Linked DNA regions of Stegostoma tigrinum. The protein of the gene in region 1 binds, or shares a complex with, the protein of each later gene. Links are inferred from orthologs where the notes say so. Each region holds a gene or a part of one and is shown on either strand. Other genes may lie near its edges.

What was found.
Region 2: the proteins of gpr161a (region 1) and guanine nucleotide-binding protein G(olf) subunit alpha-like are in contact, whole or in part, in a cryo-EM structure (PDB 8KH4), measured with the Homo sapiens proteins. The link is inferred for Stegostoma tigrinum from reciprocal best matches to the Homo sapiens genes GPR161 and GNAL. Residues at the interface, in NP_001254539.1 of Homo sapiens: Arg125, Ala128, Val129, Leu130, Pro132, Met133, Tyr135, Pro136, Met137, Ile139, Ile211, Val214, Ala215, Lys218, Ala219, Lys267, Ala268, Thr271, Trp327, Asn328, Lys329, Arg332; in NP_001135811.1 of Homo sapiens: Ala41, His43, Lys203, Val204, Phe206, Phe363, Cys366, Arg367, Asp368, Ile370, Gln371, Arg372, His374, Leu375, Gln377, Tyr378, Glu379, Leu380, Leu381.

The regions. Positions count from the first base shown.
Region 1 is NC_081365.1:41,729,484-41,738,851, reverse strand, and holds the start of gpr161a (G-protein coupled receptor 161), read left to right. Parts: upstream 1-5,919; 5' UTR 5,920-6,416; coding exon 6,417-6,438; exon of another isoform or gene 6,439-6,537; intron 6,538-9,368. UniProt on the Homo sapiens protein: Key negative regulator of Shh signaling, which promotes the processing of GLI3 into GLI3R during neural tube development.
Region 2 is NC_081358.1:116,702,293-116,711,108, forward strand, and holds the start of guanine nucleotide-binding protein G(olf) subunit alpha-like, read left to right. Parts: upstream 1-5,103; 5' UTR 5,104-5,364; coding exon 5,365-5,797; intron 5,798-8,816. UniProt on the Homo sapiens protein: Guanine nucleotide-binding protein (G protein) involved as transducer in olfactory signal transduction controlled by G protein-coupled receptors (GPCRs).

The DNA.
Region 1 (9,368 bases):
TGTGGCTAACAATGGATTGGTTGTGGTAGCAGCTCATGTGACAAGATCTGGTATGTGGGGGTAGGGATAAGATCATGGAGATGATGTTCAGGCCCTAAAATTATTGACCTCAATACTGTCCAGAAGACAGTAGGGGCCCCCAATGTAAAATGAGGTACTGTTCTTCCAGATTCTGCTGAGCTTCTGTGGAGCACTGTAACAAGCCTGAGACAATGACGTTGGCCAGGAAACGTAGTGATGTGTTGAAATGGCAGGCAGCCAGAAGCTCAGGGTCATTTTTGCGGATAGAACGTATGTGTTCCACAAAGTGGTTTCCTCTCCTCAACGTAGAAGAGAATACATTATGAACAGTGAATACAGAAGATTAAATTGAACAAAGTACAAGTAAGTTGCTAATTCACCTGGAAGGTGTCTGGGTCCTTGGGAGGAAGTAAGTGGCAGGTGTTGCACCTTCTGTGATTTGAATGGAAAGGTGCTGTGGTGATGTGGGAAATTCGGGAGTGGACCAAGGAGGGCCAGAGGGAACGGTTTCTGTGGAAAACTATTAAGAGGGGAAGTGAATGTGTCTAGCGGTGGCAGAAATGGTGGCTAATGATCTTTTGGATGTAGATGCTGTTTGGGTGGTAAGTGAGGATGAGGGGACTGAATTACTCTTGTGGCAGGAAAGTGAGGGCATGAGGGTAGAAATGCAGGAGATGGATTGGCTGAAGACCCTGTCGGCCGGGGAATCCTGGGTTTCAGAAGAAGGTGTATATTTCAGGGACCCCCTTGTCAAAGTTGGCAGCATTGGAACAGATGTGATGGAGATGGAGGAACTAGGAAAATGAAATGAGCCTTTACAGGAAGCAGAGTGCAAAGATGTATCATCAAGGTAGCTGTGGGAGTTGGAGTTTATAATGGATATTGCTAGTCTATCCCCAGAAATGGAAATGGATGTCAAAGAAGGGAAGGGATGAGTGTGATGGGACAGGTAGAGGTGAGAGCAGAGTGTAAGTTGGAAGCAAAATTGATATACTTTTCCAATTCCGTGAAGAGGGAAGCAGCACTGATGTCAGCAATATACTAGAGAAGGCATTGCATGTGAGGCTAGAATAAGAGCGTAACAAGGAATTTTCCATGTACCCAGCAAAGAGGCAGGCATAACTGGTACCCATGGCCACACTTTTTTGATCTGAAGAAAGTTTACAGAGTTAAAGGAGGAGTTATTCAATGTGAGGACAAACCCAGCTGGGTATAGGAGCATGATGATAGATGGGGACAGTTCAGGCTTTTTTCCCCAGGAAAAAGCAGAGACTATCCTGATGGGGGATGGATATGGAGTGTTTGCACATCCGTGGTAAGGAAGAGGTGGTTGGAACCTGCGAACTGGAAATTCTGAAACAGATTTAAAGCATCAGAAGAATTGCAGATGCAAGTGGGAAGGGACTGGACCAGTGGAGTAAAATTGGAGTGTAGGAAGAGATGAGTTCTCTGGGGCAGGTGCAGGTAGAAATGGTGGGTCTGCCCAGACAGTCCTGTTTGTGGATTTTGGGAAGGAGGTAGAAGCTGGCTGTATTGTGTTGGGGTCTATGAGCTTTAGAGGCTTTTGGCAGGGAGTAGGGAGATCACCAAGATAATATAAGATTAATGACCATTGTGGACACAATTGCCTGGTGCTCAGTTGTGGGGTCATGGTCCAGGAGAAGATAGGAAGAGATATAAGAGCTGGTGCTTATCCTCCACAATGCAGATATCAGTCCACCAGACAATAATAGAGCCACCCTAGCGGTCAGGCTCGATTACAAAGTTAGGGTTAGGTCTGAGTGCACAGAGTGCAGTCAGTTCAGAGGGACAGAGGTTTGAATAGGTAAGTTACGTAGAGTGGGGCAGACAAATTGAGGCAACCAAGTTCATGTCGACAGTTCATGATGAACAGGTGGAGTGCCGGTAAAATGCTGGAGGGAGAATCTTGGTGGTGGGTGAAAGGGTCTGTGATACTCTTGTGCATGGAAATGTGTGTGGAGGCAAAGGCAACAGAAGGACAGTTGTACCTGAAATTCATTGTGGAATGCAGAGGAATAAAACTTAAGACCTTTGCTAAGCACAGCATTCTTTCATCATTTATGGGATGAGAGTGTCGCCACTAGACAGCGTTTATTGCTCATCCCCAATTGCCCAGAGGGCAGTTAAGAGTCAGCCGCATTGCTATGGGTCTGGAGTCACATGTAAACCAGACCAGGTAAGGATGGCAGTTTCTTTCCCTAAAGGACATTTGTGGATGGAATGGGTTTTTCTGATAATCAACAATGGATTCACGGTCACCTTTTAGAGTCTTAATTCCGGATATTTATTGAATGAAAATTCTATCATCTGCTGTGCCATGATTTGAACAGAGAACAGAGTGTCCGAATGGATAGCAAATACATGCCAGGAGGTGGGATTAGGAGAAATACAAATCTGGCAGCATCAATAGAGAGAAATATAGTTAATCTGTTGAGTGCAATAATTTCTTCATATCTGAAGAAAAAATATTGGTCTCAATTTTAACTCTTTCTCTTTTCACTGATGCTAACAGACCCATTAAATTTGTGCAGTTTTTTTTTGTTTATCATTTAACCAGAGTTTTCGTTGGAATTGTTGATGTATGTCAACTCTAATTTCACCAGAATTACAGCAGACAGTCTGTTTCTGTCAAGCAGGGCCTCTGCTGAAATTGGAAGTTTTGGTGATAGGCTGTTTGTTTCCCTTGCGTTTCTGGATAAATTAAAATCCAGGCCGTAAACATCTGTGGAATCTTCATGCTAATTTTTCTGATAATTTGCTCAGATTTAGGTACCCTGGCCTCCCCTGCTAAATTGGATACTAAATCTGAGTACTGTTGTCTGAGGTCAACCGATGATTTTCTTGTTCCATTCCACCTCTCCACAAATTGTGATCCCTCATTGATGTTCTTGTCATGTTTCAATTTGTCGTCAGTAAACCTGATTTTTCTCAAAAGACAGATGATAAAACTGGATTGCATGCATTTCATGCCTGGTGTACTTCGAAGCCAATATGTGGCCACTTGAAAAGTTACAATCATAAGGATTTTAAAAATTGCTATTCTTTGCACTATTTCAATTATATGCATCAGTACACTGAGACTGGATCCAATACGATTGTTTAAAAAAAAGTGGAGGGGAAAAACTATTATATTGAAGAACTCTGGCTGTAACCTAAACATTGAACTGCACTGAAGTTTTCACCTCAGCTGGTGAGTGCAACTATTTATAGCTACCAGCATTTTAATAATGGATACCAAATTTGTATTATTCTTTTAACGTCAATAGATAGAAAATGTGCTTTGATATTGAGAACCAGTATATACCTGAGGTATGGACATATAGTGCAACTAAAATGATTGTTCAATAAAGAATGACAACTACAAAATTGATTTTACATAAGATTACCATGTCAGTAGCTTTTAATTTTATTGATAGTACAACAATCTGCCTGGCTGTAATAGTACAGTAAAAAGTCAAGTCCCACTGGAGAGACTTAAACATGGAAGATTTGCAAGGAGTTTTCTTTTGTAAGAGGAGGGATTGGGATATTGGGATTAATTTCATAGCTCTATGAAAGAGCTGTATGATACTTGAACTTAACTGCAGTGACACCACAAAACCTTAAAATAAATAAGACTATTTATTAAGTGAAATGAAGTATTTTTGTCTCACTTAGCCCCTCTTGTTAGTCTTACAAGTTAGTTTTGGGTACTGTTAGAAAACGTTGTGATTTTAATGCCATGTATAAATTCAATTAACCTGATGTGTATAATGTACCAAGCACAGATATTAGTGCACATGATGAAAATGTCTTATGATGAAGTGATTGTGTATGAGTCTTGAAGAGTTGTGACACATGCTCCATTCTTAAAGTTGCTGTTTATTATTTATGCCATTAAGTATAAATATTTGTGTGAATGTACACTTTGCTGAATTTTCATGATTCAAAAACAAGCTATTTGGCAGAGTGCTGATGTTGTGCACCTTATTATTATTTAGAAGGTTTGGAATGAGTTGTCAGTCTTTCAGAAGTACATTTCTTTTTATATTGTTTTGTGGAAGGAAAATTTAGAAATGGCTGAAGACAAGAGTTTGACCTATTTTTAAATAAACTTAAAATTGTTGAGCAGTGAGCTATTTTGAGCAATAAATGGAAATCTGAAGGAGCAATTCCTCACATTTTCCCAATCAAGCTAATCTAGTTAGTGGCAAAAATCAATGAAGGAAGTATAATGTAAGATTAAAGCTCAGTAGTATTCACTGTCAAACACACCATTAGGTTATCATATCACTTATAAGCATCAGTTTCATGGTCTTGGATCTTTCTGCCATTTTGCTGGTGGAAATAAAGTAACATGCTTTGTTTTCTTGATTGGTCTTAAATGTCATTCCAACAACATGACATTTATTACATAGCCAGGAAAGATTTAATTTGCCAATATTTAACAGGTACCTAGTTCACACTCGCGTTTAATCAAGTAGATATTGGACAGATATCTAATTTATATTCATGTCAAATCTGCAATCTCATTCCAAGGCAGAATGATCAGAAAATTCAGCTGATGTACTCATAAGCCAGTAATCAAAATAAAATCTTGTTGCAAAGTAACTGTCTCAAATATTTGCGCAACATTATCGATAAGAGCTCATTTTGCAATATTTGTAATTCAAAAATGAATAGAGACCTTCACTAGATCAGGACAAAATAAGATTATTTGGCACAATGAGAAATCCTTTAAAGGATAAGCAGATTCTGTCCTTTTCCATGAGGAAATGAAAAACTCGCTCCCAAATTTGTGTGTAACCATGTAAGACCATAAGACATAGGAGTGGAAGTAAGGCCATTTGGCCCATCAAGTCCACTCCCCCATTTAAATCATGGCTGATGGGCATTTCAACTCCACTTCCCTGCACACTCCCCATAGCCCTTGATTCCTTGTGAGATCAGGAATTTGTCGATCTCTGCCTTGGCAGTAGTGTCTAGGAATGTGCAGGCTAGGTGGATTAGCAATGGAAAATGTGGGGTTACTGGGATTGGGTAGGATGCTGTTTGGACGGTCAGTGTGGACTCGAAAGGTCGAATGGCCTGCTTCCACACAGTAGGAATTCTACAATTTTGTGTGGACGGCCTTTCAGTTTGAAAATGAGTACTCTGCTACAAGTATATATTTTTTAAATTTTATGATAACACAGTCAAATGGGTTTGTAATAAATCTTAAAATCAAGAAGCTTAAACTAATGTCAGTCATCCAAGTTTACACAGTAACATTAAAATAAACTGCAGTGCATTTTTAAGCCAGTACAGAAATATTTCTTGAATCAAATTGGTTTGCATTAGTGAGAATGATCTGTCTCAAAACAGTTAAATTATGTTGTGATTAAACCTATGGTTTGCCTTTTCAAAAAGTGGTACTGCCTTGGTGCTGTCTAATTCTGAGTACGAAGATCCTTAGCACCTTCCAAGCTCCCACAACCACTTCTACACAGAAGCATTTGGGCAGTAGATACACGGAAACTCTACCAGCTACAAGCGATTCCTGTGCCTCTCCTTCAGTGTCACCGGGTCGAAATCCTGGAATTCCCGCACCTTAATGTTGTTATGTGTCAACCCAAAGCAAAGGGACTGCGCTCTTCAAGTAGTCAGCTCAATAAACTAAAATCTTATATATTCTCTGCATCCTACTTTAAACCAGCCGATCAATAACTGAAATGGGTCGCCGATTAACTAAAAATGTTGTGGTGAGGATTAAGTGAGTTTCGCCTTGATAGGCTGAAGTGGGGAAACGGCAATCGGGGTACGTAGAAACGTGAATAATGATCCGCCATAGTAGCATAAATTATGGGGGTTCCCTGCTGTGATTGGTGTGCCTGGGAACACGGGAAGGGGTGTGGAAACTTGCGGGAATGTTTGATCTCGCTGGGTGCTGAATGAGTTGTTAGTCATGAAGTGGACAGAGCGGTCTCGCGAAACCGAGTGGGGGGGAAAAAGGAGTTTTTGAAACCTTACATTTAACTGCACCCTGTCTAGAAAATGTAGGAGGAGGAACGGGGCGGTTCCGTATTTCACAAACTTGTACACAAAAAAACTTTGAAACGTGTATGAAATTGATATTTAAAGGGAAAACAGGGCGGCCGATTGCTGTGTCGGGCCGGTTCCCGGGTGGCAGTGGAAAAGTTTGCTCGTTTTGTGTTGACTGCGTGCCCCTTGTCTAGTGTTTTGAGAGGCAGACCACCCACAGCGTGAGCTAGGATCGTCTCTCAGCCCGGCGCCATTGCACACCACCGCTGCTTTGTGCAACGCAGGATTTTGGGAGGGGGAAGCGGGAGAGCAAACAAGAGGGAGAGGGGGGAAAAAGCCTCATAGAAGACATGAACAAATCTGGAAACATATAAATGAATGGAGTGCGTGCAGAAGGTGAGACCTGACATTAATGAAAATTTTACTTAGCGAGGGATGAAGAGGAAAAAGTGAAAGCAGCGAAGTTCCTTTGAGTTGAGGAGACAAAGGGAGCTGGTGAGTTAATTCAGTATGTGGTTTGGAGACTAAAAAAGGAAACTGCTTCTGTTAACTGTTATTTCTTCAAACTTCTTCATAAGGAACTTAAACAGCAGCATATCCGTGGCTGAGCTGAACAAAAGGCGATTTATTATGCGGCCTTTCTTTTACAAAGTGCAGAGGGGAATGAAAGTGAACTCGACGCAGTGGGGAGGGGTCGTTGCTTGTCGAAAGCAAAGCGCTGTTGTTGCCTCAAAGCAATCCGTAGCAAAAAAGAATGTGTTTCCTGGTTATTTTAAAGAAAGCGAAGGATCGGACGGATGGATGTCTGGCCGCCAGAAGGAGGAAAGACTCCGTTTTGATTTTGGACCGGGGCAAGAGATGGGGTTGGATAGAGGTGGTTGGCATCATCCCGTGAATTATGCTCGGGCCTTTACCCCAGAAATAGAACACAACGTTGCAGTTAAAGAACAAACCTGACTTGAAAAAGCTAGCATTGGGATAAATCACGTTCATGTTATTCTGGTCGTAAGCAAGAACGGCTGCAAAGTACCCTTGCATTGATTTCCCACCCGCCTTCTCAAGGACCATTCCCTTTCCCACTTCCCACCAACCATTCCCACCCATGTGGTGCCATCCCTGTAACTGTAAAAGATACAACATCTGCCCACACACCACCCACCTCACCTCCATACAGGGCCCTAAACATTCCTTCCAGGTAAGACAGACTTTCTCCTGCATCTCCTCCAACCTGGTCTCCTGCATCCAGTGCTCCTGACATGGTCTTCCCTACATTGGTGAGAACAAACAAAGACTAGGTGACCATTTTGCTGAGCATCTTAGTCTGGCCTGTAACAGCCAGACAAACTGCTCGGTCATCACCTGTTTCAATTCCTCCCCCTGACATGTCCATCCTTGGCATCCTCCCATGTCGCATTGACTCGGAATGCCAATTTGAAGAACAACACGCTCTCTCTTTCGCCTGGGCACCCTACAGCTTGGAGGACTTCACATTGAATTTGCCGATTTCAAATAAACTTTCCAGCCCCACCTACTGACCCTGCCTTCCAGCTACCAATCAGATTCATCCCTCCCACTGACCAACCAGATCATACCATTACCAGAGTCCGCCCATCGCCACCACTCTGCTATGCCCTCCCCTCTTTATTGCGGCTCCCCCCTACCCTGCATCCAGTCCTGAAGAAGGGTAATACCCGAAATGTTGACTTTTCCTTTCCACCAGATGCTGCCTGGCTTGCTGTGTTCTTCCAGCCTCCTGTTCGTCTACCCATTTATCCGTGCCAGTTTTCTCAAGATAAAGAAAAGACACCTGATTATTTCTTCCCCATCTTAATTCTCATCTTGGTCCCTGACTTGCTGTGATCCCCCTTTAATGATTCAAATGACCTTTTAACCAAAAAGAGCTCTGATTTCTTTCAGCAGTCCCAGAATAATTGTGAGCAGTTGTGAATGCTTAAAACCTAATGTAAGGTGTTAGTGACCTGTATATCTTGAAAAGGAAAATCCTTGAATTCATCTGTATTAGCTCTTAAAATAGTCACAGAAAAGTAAAAGTTGGAATTGAAATAATTCTGACCACATGCATTGATGTCACTTTTTTAACACAGTGAAATATCCAGAGTGATTGACAACATGGTCAGAAAGAAAACACCCAGCCAAGGGGAGGATAACATCATTAGGATGTTATTACGATGTGGAGTGTCATTAGAAAATGACACTTTGAGGGGATAAAGCAGTTGGCTTAAGACTGGCTCAAAACTTGGGTTTAAGGGATTTTAAAGAAGGAAAGAGAGGTAAAGGAGCTTGTAGGGAAGAAACACCGGTGTTCAGGCCCAAAGAAGTTCAAGGTGCAGACAGAAATGGTGTTGAAAATATTTGGGAGGGCAGAATAACGTGAGTAAGGCTTTTTCCAGGATTGTAGGGCTGGTGGAAGTTGCAGAGTTGGAAGTGGCCATGATGAATTTGAAACTAATAAATTTTAAAATTGAGGTCTTGCTTAAGCAGAAGTCAAAGTAGGTCAGTAACCACAGAGGGTAATAGATGACTGGGGCTTAGGATAGGGGCAGTAGAGTGATAGATGACCTCAAGTTAATGGAGGGTTGGATGTCGACATGTGGCCAGGTGTTTGTTGGAATAGTCAGGTGTCGAAGCGAAAAAAGGCATGAATGTATATTTCAGCAGCAGAGTTGGAGCAAGGCCATATGATATGGAGGTGGAAAATGAATTTTTAATAATGTGTAGATATGGCTGAAAGCCAGTCTTGAGGGCAGTTGTGACATTGAGGCTCTGACCAGATCAGAGTTATGAGACTTAGTAGAGGGAGAATCATATAGCAAAGAAACAGACCCTTTGGCCCAATTCATCCATGCTGACCAGGTTTCCTGAACTGAATTAGTCCAATTTGCCTGCATTTGGCCCATATCCATCAAAACCTTTCCTAATTGGACAGATATATCAGTGTTTTTTAAGTGTTGTAATTGTACTTGCCTCAATCACTTGCTCTGGAACCTTGTTCCATATGTGTATCACCCTCTGTGTCCCTCAGGTCTCTTTTATATCTTTCTCCCCAAACATTAAAACCACGTCCTCTTGTTTTGGACTCCCCACCCTGGGGAAAAGACCTCTATTATTTACCTTATCTATACCCCTCATGGTTTTATTAACTTCTAAGGTCAGCCCTCAGCCCCCTACTCTCCAGACAAAAAAAAGTCCTAGTCTATCCTTATCACTCAAACCCTCCCGTCTCAGTGATACCCTTATCATTTTTTTTTGCACCCTTTCCAATTTAATAACATGCTTCTGTAGTAGTGTGACTAGTATTATATGTG
Region 2 (8,816 bases), on another chromosome or scaffold:
CTGAGATCTCCTTATATACTTATTTATAAATTTTTCTCTTAGTATTTGGGGGGGGGGGATACCATAGTACAATCCCATTAAAGTGATCTTTTCTTTCTTATTTGTAATTTCTACCCAGATATTTTCACTGGATGATTTTTCAGAAATATCTTCACTAGTTACAGCGCTAATGTATTTCTTAATCAAAAATGCCTCCACCCCCCTCCTTTTTTGCCTCCTTTACAATGCTTCCTATAGCATCTAAACCCTGGAAAATTGACCTGCCAGTCTTATCCGTCTATCAGCCAAGTTTATAGTAGCCATGATGTTCCAATCCCATGTTCTTAAACATGCCCTGAGTTAATCAGCTTTAACTGTAAGACCCCTTGCATTGAAATAACTGCAATTTATTCCTCAGAGTTACTGCACATTCTGATTTTCTCTTGTCTTTGATTTCCAATTGATGTGCTCTCCTCACATTCAGTACCTTCCCTTTCAATCCTTCTGTTTAAAATAATACTTAGAATTTCTCCACTCCCCCTCACTATCAGAACAAAATCCTCCTTAAAGGAATGAGGATATCTACCTGCTAAGATATTGGTCCCTTTCCAGTTTAGGTTAGATCCATCCTTTTTTGAATAGGTCTTTGCGATCCTAAAAGAATTTCTAATTGTCCAAAACCTGAGTCCCTGAACAATACACCAACATTTCAGCCTTTCAACCTTTAACCTTTTGCTCCTTCCCTTGTTTGAGTTTGGCATTTGGAGTAAACCAGAAATTTCTATTTTCAAGATTCTATTTTTCAATCTTCTACCTAACTCATAAATTCACTCTGTCCTGCTTTAACCTTTTCCTTAAAAATGACATTACGACCAATGTGTACAATAATTTCTGGCTTCTCAATCTTACCTTTAACAATATGCTTGAAATGTTTGGAGATGCCTTTATTCTTAGCACCAGGAAAGCTACAAATCTAAATTAACGTTCACTGCCACAGAATCTTCTGTCTATATTCCAGACAGGAGAGTCCACTATAACAATAATTCTATTAAATCTTGTGAAACACTGCCTAACATAAGAATTGTTCCAAGTGTCCAATAACTGACTGGTTTTTCCATTTTCCTCACAGAGACTATCTCCTTCTACAGTTCCAAAAACTGAATATCAACTTGATAGAGGAATAGCCACCGGAAACTTTTGAACCACCTCCTCACCTTTCCTGACAGTTACCTAGCTATCTGACTGATCCTGCTATGTAGTAACTTTTCTAAATCTACTAGCCATCTCACTCATCTATGCCCTTAATAACATTAAGCCTAAAAAAAGTTTTAATAACACCTTGTATGTAAAATAAACTACTTTCAACTACCTCCAGAAAATAATATTAAAATGGAAAAAATTGAAAATCTATATATCAAACATAAAAAACTTAAATAAAATCAACCAATTAGTTGATTAACTGAATTTAAAAAAAGTTTCTCTCCAATAAATTCTTTGAAGAAAAAAAATCATCTCCAGAACCAACCACATGTAGAACTCTTGAAATGAAAATACAACTTCGTATTTTAAAAAAATTTGGTCTTTCAATAAAATTGCCTTTGCAATGTAAACAAAAACCCTCAAAACCTTCGTAATATGAAAATTACCCTCTAAAACATGTATACAATTTTTAAACTTCTGAACTTAGAATAAAAAAACTTAGCTGTTCACTGTGACGCGTAAAAACTTGTTTAAAAATAAAGTTTCAGAGATAGTGGGGACTGCCGATGCTGGAGAATCCTAGATAACAAGGTGTAGAGCTGGATGAACACAGCAGGACAAGCAGCATCAGAGGAGTAGGAAAGCTGGCATTTCGGGTCTAGCCCCTTCTTCGAAAATGCCAGAAAATTTTCTGAGAAGTATCTAGACCCGAAATGTCAGCTTTCCTGCTCCTCTGATGCTGCTTGGCCTGCTGTGTTCATCCAAATCTACACCTTGTTATCTCATTTAAATTGTGATTTTTTAAAATGTTGATGAAACAAAATGAATAAAGATCTTATTATTAAAATACAATGACTGCAATAACAACAAAATAAAAACTGTGATAAACCTTTAACTAAGCCTACAATCCCAGAAGCAGATGTGAGATCTATGCTGCAGCAAAACGCAAATTTCTTTATCTTGAATGGATGAACAGAAATGCTGAGACTGACTTAAAGACTTACTCAAGAATTCTGAGGTGTAGAGGAATTTGGTGTTCTGGCATACTTCTCACAAAAAGTTAGTATGCAGGTGCAGCAAGTAAATAAGGCTAATGAAAGACTGAGTGAAACATAAAATTAGGGATATTAAGCTTCAAGTATACAGGACACGAGTGAAACCATTGTGTGCAATTTTGGTCTCCTTATTGAAGGACAGACGTAAATGCATTACTTGTTCAGAGGAGGTTACTAGGTTGATATCTGGAATGAGTAGATTGTCTTATGAGGAAAAGTTGCACAGCAGAGAATTGTTTTCATTGGAGCTGAGTGTGAGGGGAGAGTTAATGAAGTGTATAAGATCCTGAACACTGCTGACAAAGTGGGCACAGATTGGATGGTTTCTCTCAGGTGGATACAGAACTAGCAGATCATTGTTTTAAACTCGGGGCCTCCCTATTAGAACTTAGGTAAAACATTTTTGATGGTTTTAGAACAGAAAAACTAGTAGCAGGAGTGGGCAATTCAGCCACTCAACCCTGCTCTGCCATTTGATATGATTGTGGGGTTATTTCTGCCTCAACTCTTCTTTTCTGCCCTCCCCATAGCTCTTCAACCTGTGACTAATTAAAAATCTGTCCATCTCATCCTTATATTTACTCAATGCCCTGGAGACCACTGCACTTTGGGGAAGTTGACTTTGTGACATTGGCATTCTGCCTCAGAAGGCAGTTACAGGATTAGAGATTCATTTAATCTCTTTACTTGTTCAGAGGAGGTTACTAGGTTGATATCTGGAATGAGCAGATTGTCTTATGAGGAAAAGTGGCTCAAAAGAACTTTGCAAAGTTCTCACCTACTTCTGTATATTGGTTGGCACAACTTTCTTGCTTTTATACCCATGCCTCAATTAACAAAGTCAAAAATCTCATCAGATTCGTTTTTAAACAGCCTACTCAACTTGTCCTGTCCCCTTCAATGATTTGTGCACACATTGTAGGTATTTCTGTTCCTGCACTCGCTTCTCAATTCTATCAATTATCTCATTGCCTAACCTATTCTTTGTATCAAAATGTATCGCTTCACATTTCTCTACATTAAATTGTACTTGTCACCTGTGTTTCCATCTAATGATTGCAGACAATATTTTCAGTGCCGCTGGGATGGATATTTCAGCTCCGGTTTTTTCCGGTATCCTTGCTTTATATGCTGAATATCTGGTGGGGTTTGTTTAGAAATTAATAGTGACGACTATGCAAAACAATGTTATGGCATGTCAACAGCAGGGAATCAAAATTGCCTTCTGTCGCAAAGCTAGCAGAGAATGGGGCAACGTTTGGATATTTTGGATGTGAGTTTGCAACTCTAGTGACTCGCTAGCAAAACTCGTTTGGATATTTAGCTATACACCTGCCCCTCTCCTGAATTTGTTGCACGATTCATTCACAAATAATTGCAAGCACTATTAGCCTCACGGGAAAAAAAGAATTAACAGCAAAATCGGGCTCAACACTTAACTGTGTTTACAGCAAACAGGAGTATGGTGCCATAGCAAATACTAAACAAGTCACATGATATTTCTAAAGATACCACGCCTCTTTTATAAACTTCTGTAACCCCAACCAATTAAACAATGTCTAAACTTAAGGCACTTCTCTACAAGTGGTTGTGCTTGAAATGTGTCGGAAATATCTTATTGCAAAATTATAATCTGCCTCACGCAATTGATATGATTTCTAGATTGATTACACCAATTAAATAAGTTTGAAAGTTGTACAAAACACTTCCTTGCTCGCCAGGATAAATATGTGAAATTCCAAAATGTACTTTCCCCCCAATCCTCAACCTTACGCAGATGTGACATATTGGATATACACAGGTAGCAGGTCAGACAGCACCCGAGAGGAGGTCTTGATGGTCCAGACTTCATTAAAAAATTAAAACACGATCAGTTATCTTTGATTAAAGCAAAATGTTGTAGGTGCTGCAAATCTGAAATACGGACAGAAAATGATGGAGAATCTCAGCAGGTCTGGCAGCATCTGTGGAGAGCGAGAAATAGAATTAACATTTTATGTCTAATATGATTTCGGGTTCCGAAGAAAAGCCCTATTGAACGTAAAACGTCAACTGTTTCTCCAGCACATTTTTTTAAATGGCAGTTATGTTTGACTGTTTTGCATAATGTTATACCTACATGGCTCCGCTATTTCAGGATCATTCTGTGAAGTATTTACCCATCTGTATTTCATATTGTAATTTTCAGCTCGATTACTAATCGGATTTTTTATACTTTTTGGTTGTTTTAAATGCCCGTCAAAAGCAACATTAAAGCCTGTATTTTCTAGTTACATTCTCTCTCTCTCTGGTGGGGGGAAATAAAAAAACCTTTTGTTGCTTGAGGCCTTTTTGATTTTTGTATTCAGGACACCGAGATCCGTTTTTAGCTGGATTGAGTAATGAAGGAAATTCCACCGTCAAGTAATGATTATTTTTAAAACCCAAAATATCATTCACTCAGAAGAATTCCCCCTTTCGAGCACCAGTTTCCTCTTTGGTGTAGCTTATGATTTACGAAAAACAGTAAGGGGGTTCGGAGCGATTTGAGGGGAGTTTCAAAAGATATTCTGTCATGGGGTGTAATATTTATGTCGATCGTGACGGCGGTGTGTTATTCCTCCACGGAATTCATGAGGCTGTAAATAAATCAGTACAAATGGTGTGGTCTTCCAGTGACTTGTGCGTCTTCCAAGTAAAAATGATTCCCGAGGACAAGCGAGGTCCACCAGGAGAAAAGGGAGGAAATTGAAGGGAAGATAAATGAAGTGCTGGGGAGGGGAGATGAGGTTGGAGAAGGTCGAATGGTTTGGCTGTGGTTCCAGGAGCTGGGCTGTGTGTTTGGAGGATTTACGGTAAGGTGGACCACTGGCCACTGGGATCAGGTGATTTACGAGTCTCGAACGCCGTATCTGCTTGTGCACAATGGAACATTGGGGTTTTTAAACCATTCTGTCTCTTCCTTATATTTTGTGTTTTTTTTGGGGGGGGTGGGGAAAATTGGGAGGAGGTTGTGGGAGTGGGAGATAAAGGACAGTAAGCGCCAGCTGCATTTTGGTGGGTGGGATTGGGAAGCGTGAGGATGAAGCGCTGATCAAAGCGGTTTGTTCAAGGCCCTGTGTTGGGGGTATTTGCCTGTGTCTGTGGAAACATGGGGATGTGCTACAGCCTGCGACCGCGGCTGTTCAGCGACCCCATCGCGTCAGTGTCCACCAGCAGCCCGGACTCGGAGCCTCCGGCGGCGGCGGCGGCGGCCCCGGCCCCGGCCCCAGCCCCAGCCCAGCAGCGGGGGGACACGGCGGAGCGGCCGCGGAGCTCCGACTGGCTGCGCGATGGTCACCAGCCCCAGGCTCAGCGCAGGGACACGGACAGGCTCCGCGACTGGCAGCCGCAACAGAACGGCGGAGAGCGGCAACACGGCGCTAAGAAAGCAGCCTCCGAGAAACAGAACAAGAACTGGGACAGGCTGCGGGCGGAGGAGAAGGAGGCGGAGAGGGAGGCGAAGAAAGTCAGTAAATACATCGACAAAATCCTGAAGGAACAGAAACGCGAGTACAAGCAAACGCACCGTCTGCTTCTGCTGGGTAAGGTCATATCAATGTAAGGGCCGTTCCCTCTGGGGAAAGGTGACTTATTAAAGCACAGGGAGAGGCTGGCATTTCATGGTCGGTTTGCATGTTTTCCACGTGTTTTGTGATAAACGACTATGGTTTTGACGGCACACTCTAAAATTAATCATTTCATTCATCCCTGTCTCGAAGTTTGCGGCAAACATTTAAGCTTGCTTCTCCAGAATGTGTACCAAAAACGGTATCAAATTAGCACTGGCCAATTTGTAAACTGCCAGTGCAGTCAATCATATATTTAAGGGAAAAAAAACACTGAACTGTCTAAAGGATGTGACTGGCAGGGTTAATGACGATTTTGTCACCTTGTTCCAGCTTACTTTTTCATGTCGCTTTGCATCATCGGACTTGACCATATTGCACAGACATTACAGCCCATGTTACATTTAATGACTTGGCTGAAAGCAATGAGCCTTGCAAGCGTCCTGTTAGTAATGAAGGACAACCAAAGAATATAGTGTTCTTGGATATTAAAACGTGCTCCAGGAAAGATGTTTTGCACAAGTTAAGGCCTGGCAAGTTAGAATGCCACACTGATGTGGGCAGACCCTTGGCTAAAGAGATTCGATTAGGATTACAAAGGTCTTTGAAGAGTCATGCTGGATTTGAAGCAGTAACTCTGTCCACATTGCTCCAGCATTTGTTTCACACCTTTTTTAATGTTAGCAGCCTGTTACTAACAGAATACTTGCAAGGGTCATTGTTTGCACCCAAGTCATTAATGTTACAAGGATTGTAAGGACTGTGTAATGTGACCAACTCGGGTGATGATACAAAGCTACGTTGAAAAGTAAGCTGTAACAAAATAACAAAATCTGCAAATAAATTAGGTTGTGACTGAGCAAAAGGCGTTGGATAGAGTAAATGTGAGAGAAATGAGGTTTTCACTCTCTAGTAGGAAAATAAAGTATATTTTTAAAAATAAGTTACTGTTAATAATTGAGAAAGATGCAGTGGCCTTGCATGGGACACACAAAGTTTCATGTACAGCACGCAGTTAGGAAGACAGATGGCATACTGTGAGGAGAGTGAAGTTATGCTGCAGTTGTATGGGGCTTTGTTAAACCATATGTGGAATCTGGAGTCTGATTACCATATCTGAGGAAAGGTGTGTGTGTGTGTGTGTGTTAGAGGAATTGAAATGAAGCCCCACTACATTGACTCAAAAATCAAAGTCTGTGCAGAAAGATTGATTAGAACCTGCCTATACTTCTGAGAGTTTATAAGAATGAGAAGTGATCTCATTTGAAATTTTATGATTGTGAGGGTTTGTTCAGGTGGTTGCTGAGAAACTTGAGAATACAGTACCTGCAAGATAAGGTGTTAGCCGTTTAAGACTAAGATGAGGAATTCTGTCACTTGGAAGTTTGTAAATCTTTGGAATTTGTTACCCCCCCCCCCCCCCCAGGGCTGTGGTTGTTCAGTTGTTTAGCATATTGAAGGCTGAGGTGGTGAGACTTCAGAATCTAATGCCATGTGGAGATCAGTGGAGAGAGTTGAATTGAAGCTGAAGATCAACCACCATCATGTTGGATGGCAAAGAAGGGTCAAGGAGTCATGCAGCTCATTGTTCCTCTTCAGTTAAAATGAAGAACTACTGATTGCTAGAAATCTGATTCAAAAACAGAAATTGCAAGAGAAACTCAGTAGGTCTTTCAGCATCTGTGGAGAGAAAGAAGAGTTAACATTTCGGGTCCAGTGAGCTGTCTTTAGAACTAGTGGATTCTGGAGAATGGTCACTTGACTCAAAACACTCAATCCAGTTTCTTCCCTCAGATACTGCTAGATGTGCTGAGTTTCTCCAGCAGTTTCTGTTTTTGCTCCTTGTCCTAACTGTATTTTCAACATTCCCAATGTATTTGGAAAGACCAGTTAATCTTTAGATCAAATATTTGAACATCAGTTTGTCTTTACTAATGGGCCTGTTATGTTTCTAATATTTTTGAATACCAATACCAAGACTGGCTCTCTGGGAAAATTGAAAAGTTGTATTTGAAATGATTCTGTTCTGCCTAGCATACTTGCTTCCGTTTTCCACTGAACCTTTAAATAGATGTAAACAATATTAATTTTTGATTAAAGACAGCAAATATGCAAATGAAGTTTGCACATATGCTTCGGGATAAAACCTACTTGCTAAATGTAAAACTTTGTGCAAGGGTACCACTTCCCTCTGAGCTATTTAATAGTTTCTCACCATTTAAAATAACTTCACATTCTTCAAAACATAAGGCCCTGTTTTTCCCTTTCCGGAAAGCCAAGTCTCAATGATCTTTCTACTGCAGCATTTAACCATTTAAGAAATTCCAGGGACTTGTTATCGCCTACTATTTTTAGCAATGTATTTCACTTGTTGATTTTGTGAGAGTTGATACTTCCTGATGTAAGCCCTAGGCATGCCATTCTCCTGGGATGGATGAATTATATTACAGGGTAATTAGGGGAGGAGAATTTGTGAAATAGTCATGGTCATTTTGCGGAAGATAAATAACAGCTAACAAATAGATCTTGCCAGAACTACCTCAGACATTTTTTGGGAAATAAGCAATACAAATTGATGAGGTTACTGACATATTGTTAATTGTGTCATGCAAGGAATTCACAGTCTAATGTTATTGTGAAACGTGAGAGAGAGAGAAAATGTGAATTTGTGACATGTCACAGGAAAAGTGCAGAAGCAATTCCTATGATGCATTGAGTCCAAACAAGCAGGAGAAATGAGTAAAGTGCTACTGAGTGCATATTGCCTGACCTACTGTTCTAATGTGCATAAATGATCTGAATTTGCAACTCTGGAACATGGCTGAATATTGCACTGACACCAGGCAATGAGCCTGGGTTAAAGAAGACAACCAAGATTTTGCAGATAGAGCTTGGCAAGTTTTTTTCGTCCATATTCTGGGTAATGAATAACATTACATTTGGATTCATAAAAGAAAGGCTTGTATTTATATAGTCTTCCATGTCCAGAGAATGG